Linked DNA regions of Nothobranchius furzeri. The protein of the gene in region 2 purifies or fractionates together with the protein of the main gene of each other region. This does not show direct contact. Links are inferred from orthologs where the notes say so. Each region holds a gene or a part of one and is shown on either strand. Other genes may lie near its edges.

The links.
Region 1: the proteins of styx (region 2) and fbxw7 purify together in Homo sapiens (affinity purification with western blotting; 4 studies listed by BioGRID and IntAct, with this or other methods). This does not show direct contact. The link is inferred for Nothobranchius furzeri from reciprocal best matches to the Homo sapiens genes STYX and FBXW7.

What each region holds. Positions count from the first base shown.
Region 1 is NC_091747.1:80,806,477-80,814,310, forward strand, and holds part of fbxw7 (F-box/WD repeat-containing protein 7), read right to left. Parts: intron 5,422-7,834; coding exon 5,173-5,421; intron 5,085-5,172; coding exon 4,569-5,084; intron 1-4,568. UniProt on the Homo sapiens protein: Substrate recognition component of a SCF (SKP1-CUL1-F-box protein) E3 ubiquitin-protein ligase complex which mediates the ubiquitination and subsequent proteasomal degradation of target proteins.
Region 2 is NC_091749.1:54,435,289-54,443,770, forward strand, and holds the start of styx (serine/threonine/tyrosine-interacting protein), read right to left. Parts: upstream 5,360-8,482; 5' UTR 5,134-5,359; coding exon 5,074-5,133; intron 4,767-5,073; coding exon 4,734-4,766; intron 4,652-4,733; coding exon 4,598-4,651; intron 4,501-4,597; coding exon 4,403-4,500; intron 4,312-4,402; coding exon 4,251-4,311; intron 4,184-4,250; coding exon 4,147-4,183; intron 4,069-4,146; coding exon 4,029-4,068; intron 977-4,028; coding exon 926-976; intron 832-925; coding exon 759-831; intron 1-758. UniProt on the Homo sapiens protein: Catalytically inactive phosphatase. Acts as a nuclear anchor for MAPK1/MAPK3 (ERK1/ERK2). Modulates cell-fate decisions and cell migration by spatiotemporal regulation of MAPK1/MAPK3 (ERK1/ERK2).

The sequences.
Region 1 (7,834 bases), on a different chromosome or scaffold from region 2:
GAGTTCCCAGTGGGGGGAAATAAACTGGAGACAATCAGATATTTTAGCATGTTTTTTAAACTGAGCATAAGTGTGGTCTTATTTACTTTTTTATAATCAAGCATGAATTATTCAATCCTGCTTACTTTTGTGAACAGCAACAAGTTCTGAGCAGCACAAAAAATAACAGGAAAAAGAACAAACAGTAACAGTGGGTTGGTATAACTCAGCTATATGTCTCCCTCTAGTGGAACAGAATGGAACAACAATTCTGCACTGGAGTTAAAAAAAACTAAATCATTCAAATCTCAAGTGATAAACGAATAATGGGGTTACTTAGAGTTAATTAGAAAACTGTTAGAAACACTTAATATAAAGATGTATTGGTACTGTCTCATTACCAAAGCTTGTCATTAGAACAGTCACAACTGCATGAAGTGGTGGATTTCACCAGATGAACATAAAAGTGACTGATGTACAAAAATGCTATAGTCATATATTTTATTTTATTTTATTAATGGTCCTAGAAATTGCCAAAGCCCTTCTGTGTTGCCTCTAACTCAGGGGTGTCCAATCCTGGTCCTGGAGGGCTGGTATCCAGCAGGTTTTGTGGTTTTTCTGCTCCAACAGGCTTGATTCAGTGGTTGAAACACCTGTGCAGCAGCTCATCAGGCTCTGCAGAAGTCTGTTAATTAGCTGCTGATTGAAATCAGGTGTGTTGAAACAGAGTTCAAACTAAAACATGCAGGATACCGGCCCTCCAGGACCAGGATTGGACTAAATTTCATTGTTATTTCCTGATGAAAAACACCCCCAACAAGGTTTATGGGTTCACTTTTACATTTTCATGTCTCAGTTGCTTCTTCCCTTTAGCTGTGCTAAACTCTGCTAGGCTATTGCAAAAGGCCGGATGGGAAGAAGCGAGGCATGTCTGCATCATCATGCCCCGATCTTCACCATCCTGGCAGTCACGAGTCTGGATCCCACCTCCCCAGGACTGTAAACAGTAACGCCCAGTCTCTCCGTGTAGCTAGCAGGAAGTTTAATCTCCACAATTGCAAAGTCTGCACTTTAAATATTGTCTAGAATAGGGTTGAGCGATTTGTATAATTTTTCCCACCACCAATCGTCAGTCCAAAAAAGACGATGGACGATTTATTCGTGCATGTGACGTCATGACGCACGGACTGATTTGCGAACACAGAAGAAGCTCAAAAGATAGATTTTTTTAATACAAGCGCAGCACACATGTTTGCTGGAAGACAAATTGATTTTTCTTTTTGTTTAATTTTGTATTTGTAGTTTGGTAGAGTGACGCATAAACGGCCCGTAATAAACACGGTTAAAATGTTCAAAAGAAGCCTCGCCTTTCCCTCTGGTGCCCACTGTTGTGGTTTTTATTTAAGCTAAATGTTTCTGTCGGAACAAAGGCTACTGGGTTGTTTTTCTTTTATACAGTGGGGCAAAAAAGTATTTAGTCAGCCACCGATTGTGCAAGTTCTCCCACTGAAAATGATGACAGAGGTCAGTAATTTACATCATAGGTACACTTCAACTGTGAGAGACAGAATGTGAAAAAAAATCCATGAATTCACATGGCAGGATTTTTAAAGAATTTATTTGTAAATCAGGGTGGAAAATAAGTATTAGGTCACTTCAAACAAGGAAAATCTCTGGCTCTCACAGACCTGTAACGTCTTCTTTAAGAAGCTTTTCTGTCCTCCACTCGTTACCTGTATTAATGGCACCTGTTTGAACTCATTATCTGTATAAAAGACACCCGTCCACAGCCTCAAACAGTCAGACTGCAAACTCCACTATGGCCAAGACCAAAGAGCTTTCGAAGGACACCAGGAAAAGAATTGTAGACCTGCACCAGACTGGGAAGAGTGAATCTACAATAGGCAAGCAACTTGGTGTGAAAAAATCAACTATGGGAGCAATTATCAGAAAATGGAAGGCATACAAGACCATTGATAATCTCCCTTGATCTGGGGCTCCACGCAAGATCTCATCCCGTGGGGTCACAATGATCATGAGAACGGTGAGCAAGAATCCCAGAACCACACGGAGGGACCAGGTGAATGACCTGCAGAGAGCTGGGACCACAGTAACAAAGGTCACCATCAGTAACACACTACAACGGCAGGGAATCAAATCCTGCAGTGCCAGACGTGTTCCGCTGCTGAAGCCAGTGCATGTCCAGGCCCATCTGAAGTTTGCCAGAGAGCACATGGATGATGCAGCAGATGATTAGGAGAATGTCATGTGGTCAGATGAAACCAAAGTAGAACTTTTTGGTATAAACTCAACTCGTCGTGTTTGGAGGAAGAAGAATACTGAGTTGCATCCCAAGAACGCCATACCTACTGTGAAGCATGGGGGTGGGAACATCATGCTTTGGGGCTGTTTTTCTGCTAAGGGGACAGGACGACTGATCCGTGTTAAGGACAGAATGAATGGGGCCATGTATCGTGAGATTCTGAGCCAAAACCTCCTTCCATCAGTGAGAGCTTTGAAGATGAAACGTGGCTGGGTCTTCCAACACGACAATGATCCCAAACACAGCGCCCGGGCAACAAAGGAGTGGCTCCATAAGAAGCATTTGAAAGTCCTGGAGTGGCCTAGCCAGTCTCCAGACCTCAACCCCATAGAAAATCTGTGGAGGGAGTTGAAAGTCCGTGTTGCTCGGCGACAGCCCCAAAACATCACTGCTCTCGAGAAGATCTGCATGGAGGAATGGGCCAAAATACCAGCTACTGTGTGTGCAAACCTGGTAAAGACCTATAGTAATCGTTTTACCTCTGTTATTGCCAACAAAAGTTATGTTACAAAGTATTGAGTTGAATTTTTGTTATTGGCCAAATACTTAATTTCCACCCTGATTTACAAATAAATTCTTTAAAAATCCTGCCATGTGAATTCATGGATTTTTTTTCACATTCTGTCTCTCACAGTTGAAGTGTACCTATGATGAAAATTACTGACCTCTGTCATCATTTTAAGCGGGAGAACTTGCACAACGGTGCCTGACTAAATACTTTTTTGCCCCACTGTACATAGGCCACCTCCTCCGCCCAATCCATGCTTGTAGTCACTGCCATTCTGTTGCCCCAATGTCAGCAGGGTGCACATCTTAGTGACGTCATGTGTTTTTGCGATATCGCGGTATTGCAATTTAGCCAAAAACACTATCATTACCCAATTTTAGATCGTTTCTACCTTATTTCGTTTATATTGCCCACCCCTACTTCCCACACACACATTCTCTCTCTCTCTCTCTCTCTCTCTCTCTCTCTCTCCTCTCTCCTCTCTCTCTCTCTCTCTCTCTATATATATATATATATATATATATATATATATATATATATATATATATATAAATAAACTATGAGACCGGATGTTTGGGGCATCTTGCCACAGTTATAACTGTTTGACTTGTTGTTCATTGTCTCCTTTTTCTCTCCGACTACAGGGAAATAGGTTATTGATAAACTTACTGATCAAATCCATGACAGAACCCATCTGTGATGAGTCATAAGCCACCTAATCTGGTGGCACATCAGGCCTTAGTCAGTTTCTTTTTACACAGCTCAACCAGCTCAATCACAAAAGGTCTCTGTTGTGAAAACTGCTAAGTTATAAATAAACTATTAATGAAACTTTTAATTTAAACTCATAACAGATCCTTCTATAATACCATGCACATTTAACCACAGCTCAACAGAATGTGTGCAAAGCCAGATGGCTCCTCCAATGGGCCATTCCCATCTGTACCGGGTCGGCCCGGGCCGGGTAGCCCCAGTCGGCCCCAGCCTGGCCCGGTTGATTCCACACATCCTTGTCTTAAGCCCATGTGGGCTGATTCTACCCACCAATCAGAGGCTTGCTCTAATGGAAGGTGTGAATTTGCTGTCAGCAGTGGGTGTGTTGGCCCTGGTCGGCCTGAAGCAGACCCCCTCGAGAAGAGGGCTGAGAATGAGCCTTGGTAGGCCCGGAAAAATACCAGGCTACCCAGATATGTAAACAACCTACGCTACCCGGCCCGGGCCGACCCGGTACAGATGGGAATGGCCCACAAGTGACTAAGGCCCTGATAAACACACCTGGTCGGTCAGCTGTGTCAGATCACAAGAGGCCCAGGGGAACTAAACCTGACTGAATTGAACAGAATTGTAATGGAGAACAGCGTCTGAATCACAGGATCCACTAAAGAATAAAAACTATACGGATCTAAATGTAAGAAATGGTGCTGAACACAAATGTGTGTTACTCTAAACACTCTTTCACATGAAACTTTGAACAGTTTACTCTTTACAAGTGCTAAACAGGATGTGCATTTTTGGATTTCAGATATAAAATCATGTTTCCCAATCAAACATGAAACAAGTTTCTGACTAACAGTGTTGAGTTTTACAGTGCTGGAGCATTCTGGCCACTGGGTGGCGCTGTTGTTTCAAACAACAATGCAGCGCTGGTGCAGAACATTTTCAGAAGTTTGTGAGACTACAGGAACATCTGGCCAGATGTGATTGTAAAGCTACTCACAGACGTGCAGAACGGCTAACAGGATCCATTAAGCTGCTTACCTTCTTGTTGGAAGAACTTTGGTGTGTGAAGAGCGAGTCCTGATTATTCCTGGGGGCAGACACTTTGTTCCTGAGAGTGGGGGAGCGGAGCCCATCTCCCACCTCCTCCTCCTCCTCCTCCTCCTGCTCAAACTCATCACTGTCTTGGTCCATCTCTTCGTCATCCTCCTCCTCCTCTTCCTCCTCACCCTCATCCCTCTCCTCCTCTTCCCTTCCTTGTTCCTCCCCTCCCTCTGTCCTCTCCTCTGTCTCCTCCTCCTCTTGGTGGCTGCTGCTATTGTTGTTCTCCTCCTCTTCTTCCTCTTCTTCCTCCTCTTCGAGGTGCGGCTGGCCTCGGAGCGCTCTCTGCTCTGCTCCCCACACCCATCGGACTCCTTTATAATCCCCGGTCACTTCATTTAGCTGGCCTCCTCTTCTCTCCTCCTCGTCTGCTTCTCCTTGAGGGCCGTTGCTGGCTCCTGACTCGGCGGGTGCCCATGGCTGCTCCCTTTCATCATCAACCTGTGACGCATCCGGCTGCAAAACGCCACAGAGAAGAATAACAATGACCTTTTAGGGAAACCCAGTTTATGTTCCAACATGCACAAAATAAAAAAAACCTCACCCTCTGCTGTGGCTGCTCGCTTTCCTCAACCACCCGGTTGATGTGATCATCTTCCTCACCCTCCTCTGCTGCCTGCTGGGGTGCCCGGGCCGTAGAGGAGGCGTTACCTCGTACTGCCTGACCCCCGGGGCCCCGGCTCCGCCTGCTGCTGCTGCCCCCCGACAGCAGATCCTGGTTCATTTCCAAAAGCCAGCTTGCTACCTCCTGAACCTTCGCTAGGCTGTCTGAGGAGGGGATGGTCTTGACATTCTGCAAAACACAAACAGAACACTTAAGCTATGCTTAATGCATTGGTTGTTATTCCTCATCTTCTCTTAAACTGTCTGGAGTACTTTCCATAAAATCAGCCAAGTTATTAAATATTATTGATGTGGAGAATTAGCTTGTGGGAAACCGATTGTGCTGCTCAGCAGCAGACAAGCAACAGTGATGGGTGTGATTGTGTTTTGGGACAGGAGCCACAACGTCAGAGATAAATGTAAACAACTCTCTTGTAAGTTTGTCAAATTACAGAAAAAACAATACGTCAAATACAAAAGCTAAATATTGTTTCACTGTAAAAGAAGATGAGAGCTGCAGCTCCAAACTTGTCGCTCCACACAGTTCTAAAATATCTAAAATCCAAAAGAAAGCTGCTGTTTCATCTTTAATCAAATAAAATTTAAAGTTTACTCATTTAAGTACGTTCTTAATAATTAAGGGACCTGCTGCTGCAGCAAGCAGGGACCTTATTGTTATGCACCTGGGGAGTTTTAGATATTAATATCCGTTATTATTCTTCCGCGGACGTTAACGCGGCTCGAGCGGCAGCGTGCACCCCCACAAATTATACATCAAAATAAACGGCTCAGCAGTGGGAGGTGTGCTTTTACTTTTCTAAGCATTTTGATTTATGATGGTGAAATTATTAGCAAAAAACATATTCTTTTATTCATTTTGAGTGTGTCTAAATTTGCATTAACTTTGCATGATTATGATTTAATTATGTGCACAATAATGGATGAATTTGATGGCAGGCCTTCTAAAGAGGCATTTTTTTTACATGTGTATGAATGTTATCTTGTGCCAGCTGGCAGGTCCCTTTTTAAAAATTCTTCAGGAATTTTCTAGTTAGAAATTGTAATTTACATCAGGCAACATACTAAACCCTGAAAGTTGACAGATCAAATCAGATTCTGTAAATTACCAAAAGTCAGGGTTTTAACTATTAACTTTGTCATATTCCTTATACTCGTTAAAGGGATATTCCACCCCAAAGTAAATAGTGTCTGCTGCTATATTTCCATAGTTAGATAAGTAGAAAAAACACTATTTGTAACCAGCCCAGTCATTCTCATGATTAATCTGTACTGCTTTAGCTTTAGCTTAGCATGAAACAATGTAAGAGAATGGTAACAACTTCAGTGTGTGAAAATGTCATTAAAATTACTCAATAGTGAGTCAATAATTATTTAGGGCACAGAGCAGAATTAGGATCGCTCTTGTCTTCTTAGTTCAGCAGGGTCCTAGTTGTCCTGTAACCGGACGGTTGCAGGTTTGAGCCCTGTCTATTGCAGTCATTGTGTCCTTGGGCAAGATACTTAACCCTCCTTGCCTGTTGGGGGTGGTCAGAGGGACTAGTGGTGCCTATGTACAGCCGCCTCACCGGTCTGTGTGCCCAAGGACAGCTGTGGCTCATCACTACAAGTGTGTGAGTGTGTGAGCCTGGGTGAATGACCAAATGTGTTGTAAAGCACCTTGGGGGGTTTTAGAACCCTAGAAAGTGCTAAATATAATACAGGACATTTAACTAAAAATATTAACACTTCAAGAGATGTCCATTCATACGAGACGTATGTGAGGAAGATAGGAGCTTTTTATTCACAGAGTTCAAAATGACTTCTGAGGCTAAAGGCGTCTGCGTCAGTGCGGAGACGCGCAACGCCATTATCCGTCCTTGTGAGGGCTCTCCAGCAGGTTTGCAAGGATGAACGGAGTCGAGTCCACTTTTCTAAACATCCGTTGAATAAGACGGAGACCGCAAGCCTGTGATTGGTCAGGACGCTGATTTTGTCAACAGCACCGCCATTGCCCCCCTCAAAAAAATAAAGAGAGCCAAAGATATCTAGCGGCAGACACAGAGCAGCTTGAAAAATACCTCATGGAAAACCTCTAAAAATATGAATGTTTGTTCACCTGTGACTGGAGGAGTGAAAAGATATGCAGCAAGCATTTTATTCGTGGATAAAAATGACGGGAAACGTGGGTGGCGAGCACATGAAGAGGTGGAGGAGAATGAGGAACAAATGTATTTGTGTTAAAAGGTGTTTAAAATACAAAAAACACAATATAAACACTATATTTAATGCATCATCTCGAACCGGATACGTGACAGGATACCACAGAACAATGCTACGCCCTCTGTTGTCCTGGCAGGGAATTGCTTTGAAACACTTCTCAGGAGACAGAGAAGACCAAAACGTCTCCGTGGATGTGTCTCTCCCTTGTGGAGCTGACGCAGAAGCATAAACTAGGCTTTTCCGAGGGTTTGAAAGCCAAGATCAACAAGAAATAAAAACTGGCTCTTTGAACACAAGAAATTTAAACTTTTAAAAGGTGTTTGCAACACCTGTAATGTACAATGATTTAGGTCAATTAAAATGGTGTTATGATAAATATATTT
Region 2 (8,482 bases):
TATAGGTTAGATTCCTGCCCCCTAGGCACGTAATTTAGATGGCTAGCAAACAACCGAGTTAGCTTCATCCTGCTCTTTCTGCCGATTCAGCTTTTTCCAGGATCCACTGATTGCCTTTTCTGGTTCATTTCCTTTTTCCCTTTCCTCACATTATCTGATCACATTTTTTGCTCTTCCCACTTTTTAGTCATTTTTAAATTTTTGTTTTTGATTTATTTTTTTTCTTAAGTATTTGTTTATTTATTTATTAAATCATATCGTCAGCGCAGGTTTTCCAAATATCGTTCAGCCCTACTTAACTAATCCCCAATCCACACTGGCAACGGTGGCGTGAAACGGTGCTATGGTAACTATGAAAAATGTATACCTGCGTAGTGTTTCAGATTGTGCAGAAATATTAATGTCTGCAAGATTACCCCAAGTATTTCTCCGTTTTACCAGCCAGTTCACTAATATTGACCAACAAGAGGCACTTGTATACCTAAACATATTAGATCAGGTGTTCATACTGGATTTCCTGCTGGCCTGTATGTTGGTTTCTAACTCCATATAAAGTAGCTGTCGAGCCTCATGTCACCACCTGCTTGCATCTTACCTTCATCCCATTTGCCCTCAACAATTCTGGGATGTGTAACTAATGACAACAGCAAAAGTTAAAAAAAAAAACTAATACCCTTGAGCCACTCCCCCTTGTTAATTTGAAATAAGGACCAAATGATTAAAATCCAAGCAGAATTGGGACTCAGCCCCAGTCTTACCTGTAGTTGATGCACAAAGCCCACATTGGGGTTGATGCAAAATCTCCTCTCCTGGACATAACTGAATGCATCCCTGCAGAGTTTAAAGTGGGGAGAAACTGAAGCAGAACACACTTCTCCAATTAATCTTTGTCTACAGCAAAAAAAAAAAAAAAAAAAAAAGTCACCTGTATTTCATCCCAAATGTTTCCATCAGGTAGGCGATCACCAAAGCAGCACTGAAAGTACAGATATACCCCGGTGGTTACGATGACATTTAGATGGATTTGGTCTTGTATTAGCATCAAAACAAAAACTACTGATATTATACATCTGAGTATGGCTGGACGATATATAAAAAAGCATATCAAGAAAAAATGCTCTTATTGACCTAAATCTATAATAGATAACTACAAAAAAAGTAGAAAATATATTAAGTGCAGCCCTGGCATTTTTATGGCATCACTTTATGATAAAACCAGCTACCATAGGTATTTATTGAGAAAACAACCCTCGTTTATTTTTTATCAGACGTGTAAAAAGGGAGCCCAAGTCTCCTTCCTTTCCGGTCGGCTCATGGGTCCCCGCAGGAACAAATAAATGAATGCAAGTCAATGGAGCTATTTTCGAATCCGCTTTGCCTTACGTCCTGATTCACACTCGTGCTGTACTTCAATTTAAACGAAAAGTAATGATGTGTTTCGACCACGCCTGTCACATACTTTGAGATTATCAGCTTGTAAAAGTTCGTAATTAGCATGACTACAAATCAGATGTCGGCACGTCGCATATATGACGTCACAACAGAATCTCCTCTCCCCTAGCATAGCTGCTACTTACCACATGGCCAGATTTATGGTGGTTTGAAGTTCGCAAAACTTACAGCCATTTTTCTTCTGCTTTTCTCCATGTCTGGTTCGGTGACATCACTTTGGTGATGCACATTTGTAGTCCTGGTTGTATTTTCACACAAAACCTAAAATAACTTTTGCCCGATTTAAATAAACACTTTCTATGCATCAGAATGTGTCTTTGACATTCACGGACATCATATATGAAATCCATGGCTCATAACGGAATTAGAAAATAGCAGTTTAAAGCCCCATTGACATGCATTCGATTTTTCGTTCTTCAGGGGACCCATGGTTTGGAAGTAGATGGACGTGACTTAGGCACCTTATTAGGTTTGTATCCAAATTTTGATATTGTTTAACTTTCTACACATTTTACCACGGCCTACAGCAGGGCTATTCAATTCTGGGCCTTGAGGGCCGGTATCCAGCATGTTTTAGTTTTAACTGTGCTTCAACACACCTGATTTTAATCAGCAGGTGATTAACAGGCTTCTGCAGAACCCGATGAGCTGCTGCACAGGTGACTCAACCACTGAATCTAGTGAGTTGGACCAGAGAAACCACTAAAACCATGGGACTGTGTGTGTGACCTACAGTGTGGGCGCCACTAAGGGGACTGTTTTGGCACCCTTTCTTTTCACCCTGTACACTGCTGACTTCAGACACAACACAGACAGATGTGTTCTGCAGAAGTTCTCCGATGACCCTGTGATTGTCTGCCAGATCACCGAGGACGGTGATGTGGAGTACAGAGGACTGACACAAAACTGTTGTCAGCAAAACCACCTCCTGATCAACGCGGGGAAAACAAAGGAGATGGTGGGGGATTTTCAAAGACGCCAGCCTGCCACTCCTTCACAGGTGAACATCCAGGGAATGGACATTGAGAGAATTGGCTCTTATGAATACCTGGGTGTTCACCTGAACAATAAACTGGACTGGTCTCACAACACAGATGCACTGTTCAGGAAGGGTCAGAGCAGGCTCGACCTCCTGAGGAGGCTGCAGTCTTTTGGAGTGGACACTCGTGAAGACCTTTTATGACTCTGTGGTGGCACCAGCTTTCCTGTATGGTGTGATCTGTTGGGAGTAGCAGCATCACAGAGAGAGAGAGAGGAAGAAGCTGGACAGGGTGATCAGGAAGTCCAGCTTTGTCCTGGGCTGTCATCTGGACTCAGTGCAGGAGGATCCTGGCAAAACTGAGATCCATGCTGGGCCATGAGTCTCACCCCCTGCAGAACTCTGCTCTGGAGAGCCGCTTCAGTGACGGACAGATCCACCTTCGTTGTGTGAATGGTAAATGGCCTGTATTTGATATAGCGCCTTCTAGAGTCATGGAACCCCTCAAGGCACTTTACAACACAATCATTCACACACACATTCACACACTGGTGGGGATGAGCTACGATGTAGCCACAGCTGGCCTGGGGCGCACTGACAGAGGCGAGGCTGCTGAGCACCGGCGCCACCAGTTCCTCCAACCACCACCAGCAGGCAATGTGGGTTAAGTGTGTTGCCCAAGGACACAACGACAGCGACAGACTGAGTGGGGCTCGAACCTGCAACCTTCCGATTACGGGGCGAGCACTTCCTGTGCCACCGTCACTTCATGACAAAGGAGTGTGAAGGAGAGATACCACATGTCTTTCATTCCTGCTGCGATTAGACTCTATAAGGAACACTCCTAATATGTAACTCATAAATCTGTGACAACTTATGTATCTGTAGCAATGCCACAACTGTCATCACCATTCAATACATGTGCAATGTTTACAGCAACAATCATTATGTTCAACAACTATCAAACTCTCAATTCAACACTTTTTCTATTCCACGTTACTTACTGAATTCCTTTTGTGTGATAGCTTTTCTGTACTACTATTTTAACTTTACTGTACTTGTGCTGTTGCAATACTGCAATTCCCCCTGAGGGACTAAAAAAAAAGGTATTCTTATTCTTAAAAAGTGCTGGATACCGACCCTCGAGGCCCTAACTTGAAAAGCCCTGGCCTACGGTATTACGATCTGTTATGGACCTTCTTGTGTCTTTAATGAAGTGATTGACTGATTGATATTACGATTACAAATAAAAAAATATGACGTAAGCCTCAAGTGACATTACTTCCACTGTTCAGAAACTGAAACACTATTACAGAAAAAAAACAACAACAAAAAAAAAAAACAATGTGCATAATATTAACACCTTTTATTTAAAAAAAAACGCAGCTTATTAAAAAGGGTTTCCACCAGAAAAAAATTAAATTTTTACTTTTCCAGCTTCAACATTGCATGCTATGGACTGACAACTTTCCCTGCAGGGCTGAAAACCCGCTCCGATGGTGAACTTGTGGCGCAACTGCTATAGGAGTCTATATTAGAGATTTTTGTCTCCTGAAATTTATATAAGGAAACATGTCAAAAACAGAAAACTCCTCACCTTCTCGATATCCCTGCATTACCGTGAACCAATACCTTTCCTGGAGGAGCAAAACAAGACTGCTGATCAAATATTTCACATTGAAATGATGACAAATAGGAACTGTATGTGTCCTTACCCTCTGTGGCTAAACAGCTACCAATAAATTCTTTAGTCTGCAAGAAGGAAATGTAAGAAAAAACATACTAGAACGGAGAATTAAAAGCTAAAACTTTAACTCACCGTAGGAAAAAACCGAATTATATTCTCCACTGGATTGTCTGCAATATCTAAAACAAGGTATCTGCAAGAAAAAGCTTCATAACTCAAGACTTCACATTTAGTATAAGCGTTCTGAGTACGTAAATGTTCAAGGGACAAAAATAACACCTTACCTAAATCTATGAGGAAAATTAGGTTTGATAAAATTGGCTTCAATGTCTTGGCGGATACACACAACATGTGTTATGCCGTGTCTTTCAAGAATTGGCAGCTGGAAACAGATGAATTTTAAAGTAATTAATTCATGTAAATTGTGACCGTTTCATATTCAACACAGCTCAAGCAAACATTCGATTTTTAGTTGTTACCTTGCTTTTCATTGCAGCAGAATAGGGGCCTAAGTACAATCCTGGTAAAATCTCCTAAATGGATTAAAAAAAAAACAAATAGCACAACATCAACAACAACAGGAGGAATGGATGCTACTAGACAACAATAACATACCTGCATTTCTCGCCTCATTGGATAAGCCCAGTCCTGTGAAAAAACAAAAAAAAAACAAAACAAAACAAAAAACCAAATCAAAAGTTTAAGGAAATGTTAAGGTAAGTTTACTTGTGTACATACGTGGCTAACGCTAGGCATCTTCTTGGTTTTAGCTACATGATTAAATATTTTAATATTTATTAAATAAAGAGAAGATGAGTTTTACACATGACTAGTTTGTGTTAAGTTCATATATCCTCACACTGAATGCCTTGTAATCTAAACGTTTCACAATAATGCCGGAGAGTATGTTAGCTAAAATTAGCGTGTCGGCTCCAGTTTCATGTTTTCTCCTCACCAGCAGCTCCTCCTTGGAGGAAGGAAGATCCGGGAACTGGAGTTTGATTTCCTCGTCCATTCTGCTGTGAGTTCGGGCTCTGCTGGCCCGGTTTCACGCGCGGCAAAGATGGTTCTAGCGACGGGGTTAGCTGGATAATCGGTGTAACTTGTTTGGAGGCTCCACATGCATGTCCGCCATACTGTTCCCAGACACATGTGTCACGTGACTCCTGAGCAGACAGCATGCCAGAATTTATGGTAAGCCAATATATCCTTTAAGTTGGAAGGCCAAAAGTACGGAAGGACAAACGTCCCATACCTGTTAAAGAGATACTGCACAATCTTTCATGTATTTAAATCACATTCTTGAGTTTGTGCTAACTGACCTTTCACAGGCTTAATGAAATGCCTCTCAGACCCCACCACCCTCTGCGGCAAGAATTTGCAACTTCAAAGTGCCAGGCCACCATCAGTTAGACTTAGAAAAAATGCATTTGACATACCTAGCACTGCATTCTGTTTCCAGCACATTTCCTGCATTTAGAAAATGAACACAGCTAATTTGTTAGATTTAGTAATGAATCGCTCCTTTAGAAACCAATTAACCCAAACCGTTTTGAATTACAAAACAGATTGGACAAATACATCAAGATGTAGGAAAAAAATGTTATAAAATAAAGAAGTTGAATAATTTCCAATATATGTATGGATAGATTTTCACTCTGGGTTTTCAAACTTGAATATTTGACCCAAGAAGAAATTTTGCAGATGTTTAAAACCGGTGGTGACACCAGTGTCACCACCGGTTAAAATCGGTTGTGATATATATATATATGTGTGTGTGTGTGTGTGTGTGTGTGTGTTATTTTATATTGTATTTTAAAGTTTATACACAGGTCCTTAAAGGTTCAGGCTGGGGAGACATTGCAGCTGTAGGTTAACGTTGTGCGTTAGGACAAATGCACAGCAAGGAGATAAGTCTCTCTTTTGCTTTGACCACTAATAGTTAATAACGGACACTAGGGGGTGGTGAAAGCAAGTAAAATTGCTTAGTATACCGTTAGGAAGAAATATTCTGCAGATAAACAACTCTCACTGTATGAGTTTGCTGCAAATGATAATCTTAAATGTATGGTGGAGGATGTTTCTGAATGTCAGGAAAGAACCGCCCTCTCCATAATTTGAAAAAATGCGCATGAGAGAGAACGCCCAGTTATCCCAGTGCACGCTTTGTTCACGAGTAGCTGCTGGACTTGCAGCTAACTTCTTTTAGCAGTTATATGAAATGAATTTCTCCAAATAGCATGCCGAACTTTAGCTTACCTGTCGAGCAGGTGAGCGAGGCGTCTGTGGGGAGCCCAACCTTCGCTTTGCGGATGCGCAGGAAGTGAAAACTGCCCAGCAACAAGCATGTGCAACGACGGCCTTGATGTGACTGGCTCACCAGAATGTTTGACAGTTATGCGGACCAATGGTTCAGATGATCCACCTGGAAGAAACAGATCCTATATTTTTAATTACAGCTGGGTACAAACCTTTAAAATGTTTCTTTTCAACTATTTATTGGAACTATTGTCTTGTCAGTAAGTAAAAAAAAATAAAAAAACACGTTTTATTGCTTTTGCATTGTTTTCTTGCACTGAGTTGTCATTATATTCCTATGATTATTTCTGTTATTTTCTATTGTATTTTAAAGTTTATGTTAAATACATTTTTATTTAAAATCATATAAAGATTTTCTAATTCATTTACAAGTTCTTGTCACTGAAATATGTTTTTTTATTAAAAAAAGTTACCTTCTCTGTTTTCCTCTTATCACATTTTTTTTCCTTCTTATCTTCAAACAATAATTTGAACACAGTGTTGTGCCTGAGTCATCGTGGAGGGCAAAGGCTCCTTCTTTACATATCATGGATCTCCTCATCTGACAAATACATCTTTGTTGAGATGAGCAGGTGTTTGTGAGTTAAAAACTCCGCAGCGGTGCTGGTCAGCAGAGAGAAGTGACAAAAAGTTACTTCTTATCAGATGCAGAGACATAGAATGCTGTCACCTTTCCACAGTCACACTAACCAGAAAAAATAAAGTTTCTTTGAAGGATATCAGTAACAGGAAACATATTCAACCCTTTATCCTTAATCCTTATCAGAGTGCTTAGAAAACACAGTGAACTCGCTTCCCTGTGGCACAAACATCCAAAAGAAAGCAGTTTTTAATCATCCATTTACCACATTCATTTTTGCATAAAGGAAAGAAATACACTTTCATTAAAAACTTGATCTTAATATTAATCAATAAGAGTGTTCTTTAGACAAAATTAATGTCAACAAATTAGGGATATGAATGAATAAAATCACCAGTTTTCTTATAAAAATGATCCGAAACGGGCTTGTGAACATTCAGTCTTTATCTCACTGTCCAATTACACCACCACCAGAGGATATTGATAAGTATAAACATTTAATGAATCAAAAGATGGCTCTGATTTATTATTCATAAATGCAAGCATTACTGAAGTTTCCATTTGCTCAGCTAATTATTTACTGTTGCTGTCATTTACTTTACTGTTTTTTTCATTCTTCTCAGACTGTTCAAGCATGGACCAAATGACAGTCGCTGTCAATGTTTGTATTCCCTCGGGGGCCGTGTGCTGCAGCATGAATGAATGATGGCAGCGTTAGTTAGTTAGTTAAATCCATTTTTATTTAATTAAATGTCACTTTTCTGTGCAGTAATACAGTAAACATTTTACTGAAGGCACTGCAGAAAAAATAAACAACAAAAGCCTAAAACAAAGGCCATGAAAGGCAAGAAGAAGGAAAAATGAATTTTTTCTCACTCTTCTGTTTAAGTATATTAAAAGCCTAAATTTCTGTATAATTAATGAGCATCAGACCCACGTGACCACAGAGCTAGCTCCGTGGAAAGGCCTCAGTCGAGCCTCGGCCTGGCTTGGAAACTGCTCAGGGATTTTGAAGCTCTGGTGTTGTGCACAGTTAACTCCGGTTGTAGCTAGGTTGCTACCTCCATTAGCTTAGCTCCCTTCTCCGCATTAGCTTTGGGTTTGTGTATTCTTTTTTTGGATATTATTTGTGCAACTGTTGGACAAAATGACTTGCTGTGGCATTAATTGCACTAATAGAGCGTCCAACGAGTCTCCACTTCATTATTTTCGGTAAGTAAAATTATATTTATGTATTTTAGGTCACTGCCGAGCTGAGCTTAGATTTTAACATGTACTGTTTAACCATGAAATTTAAATGTAATAGGGTAAATCCCAGTGCATTTAACATAATGCTGCACTTTAGAAAATGGGCTAAAATATTACATGTTGGTGGAGCTGGGTTCCGACTATCGGCTTGTGGAGCTCTCTGGAGACCTCTGTTTTCCACATGTTTCTCCCCGCAGCTCGGCGCAACTCTGTCTGA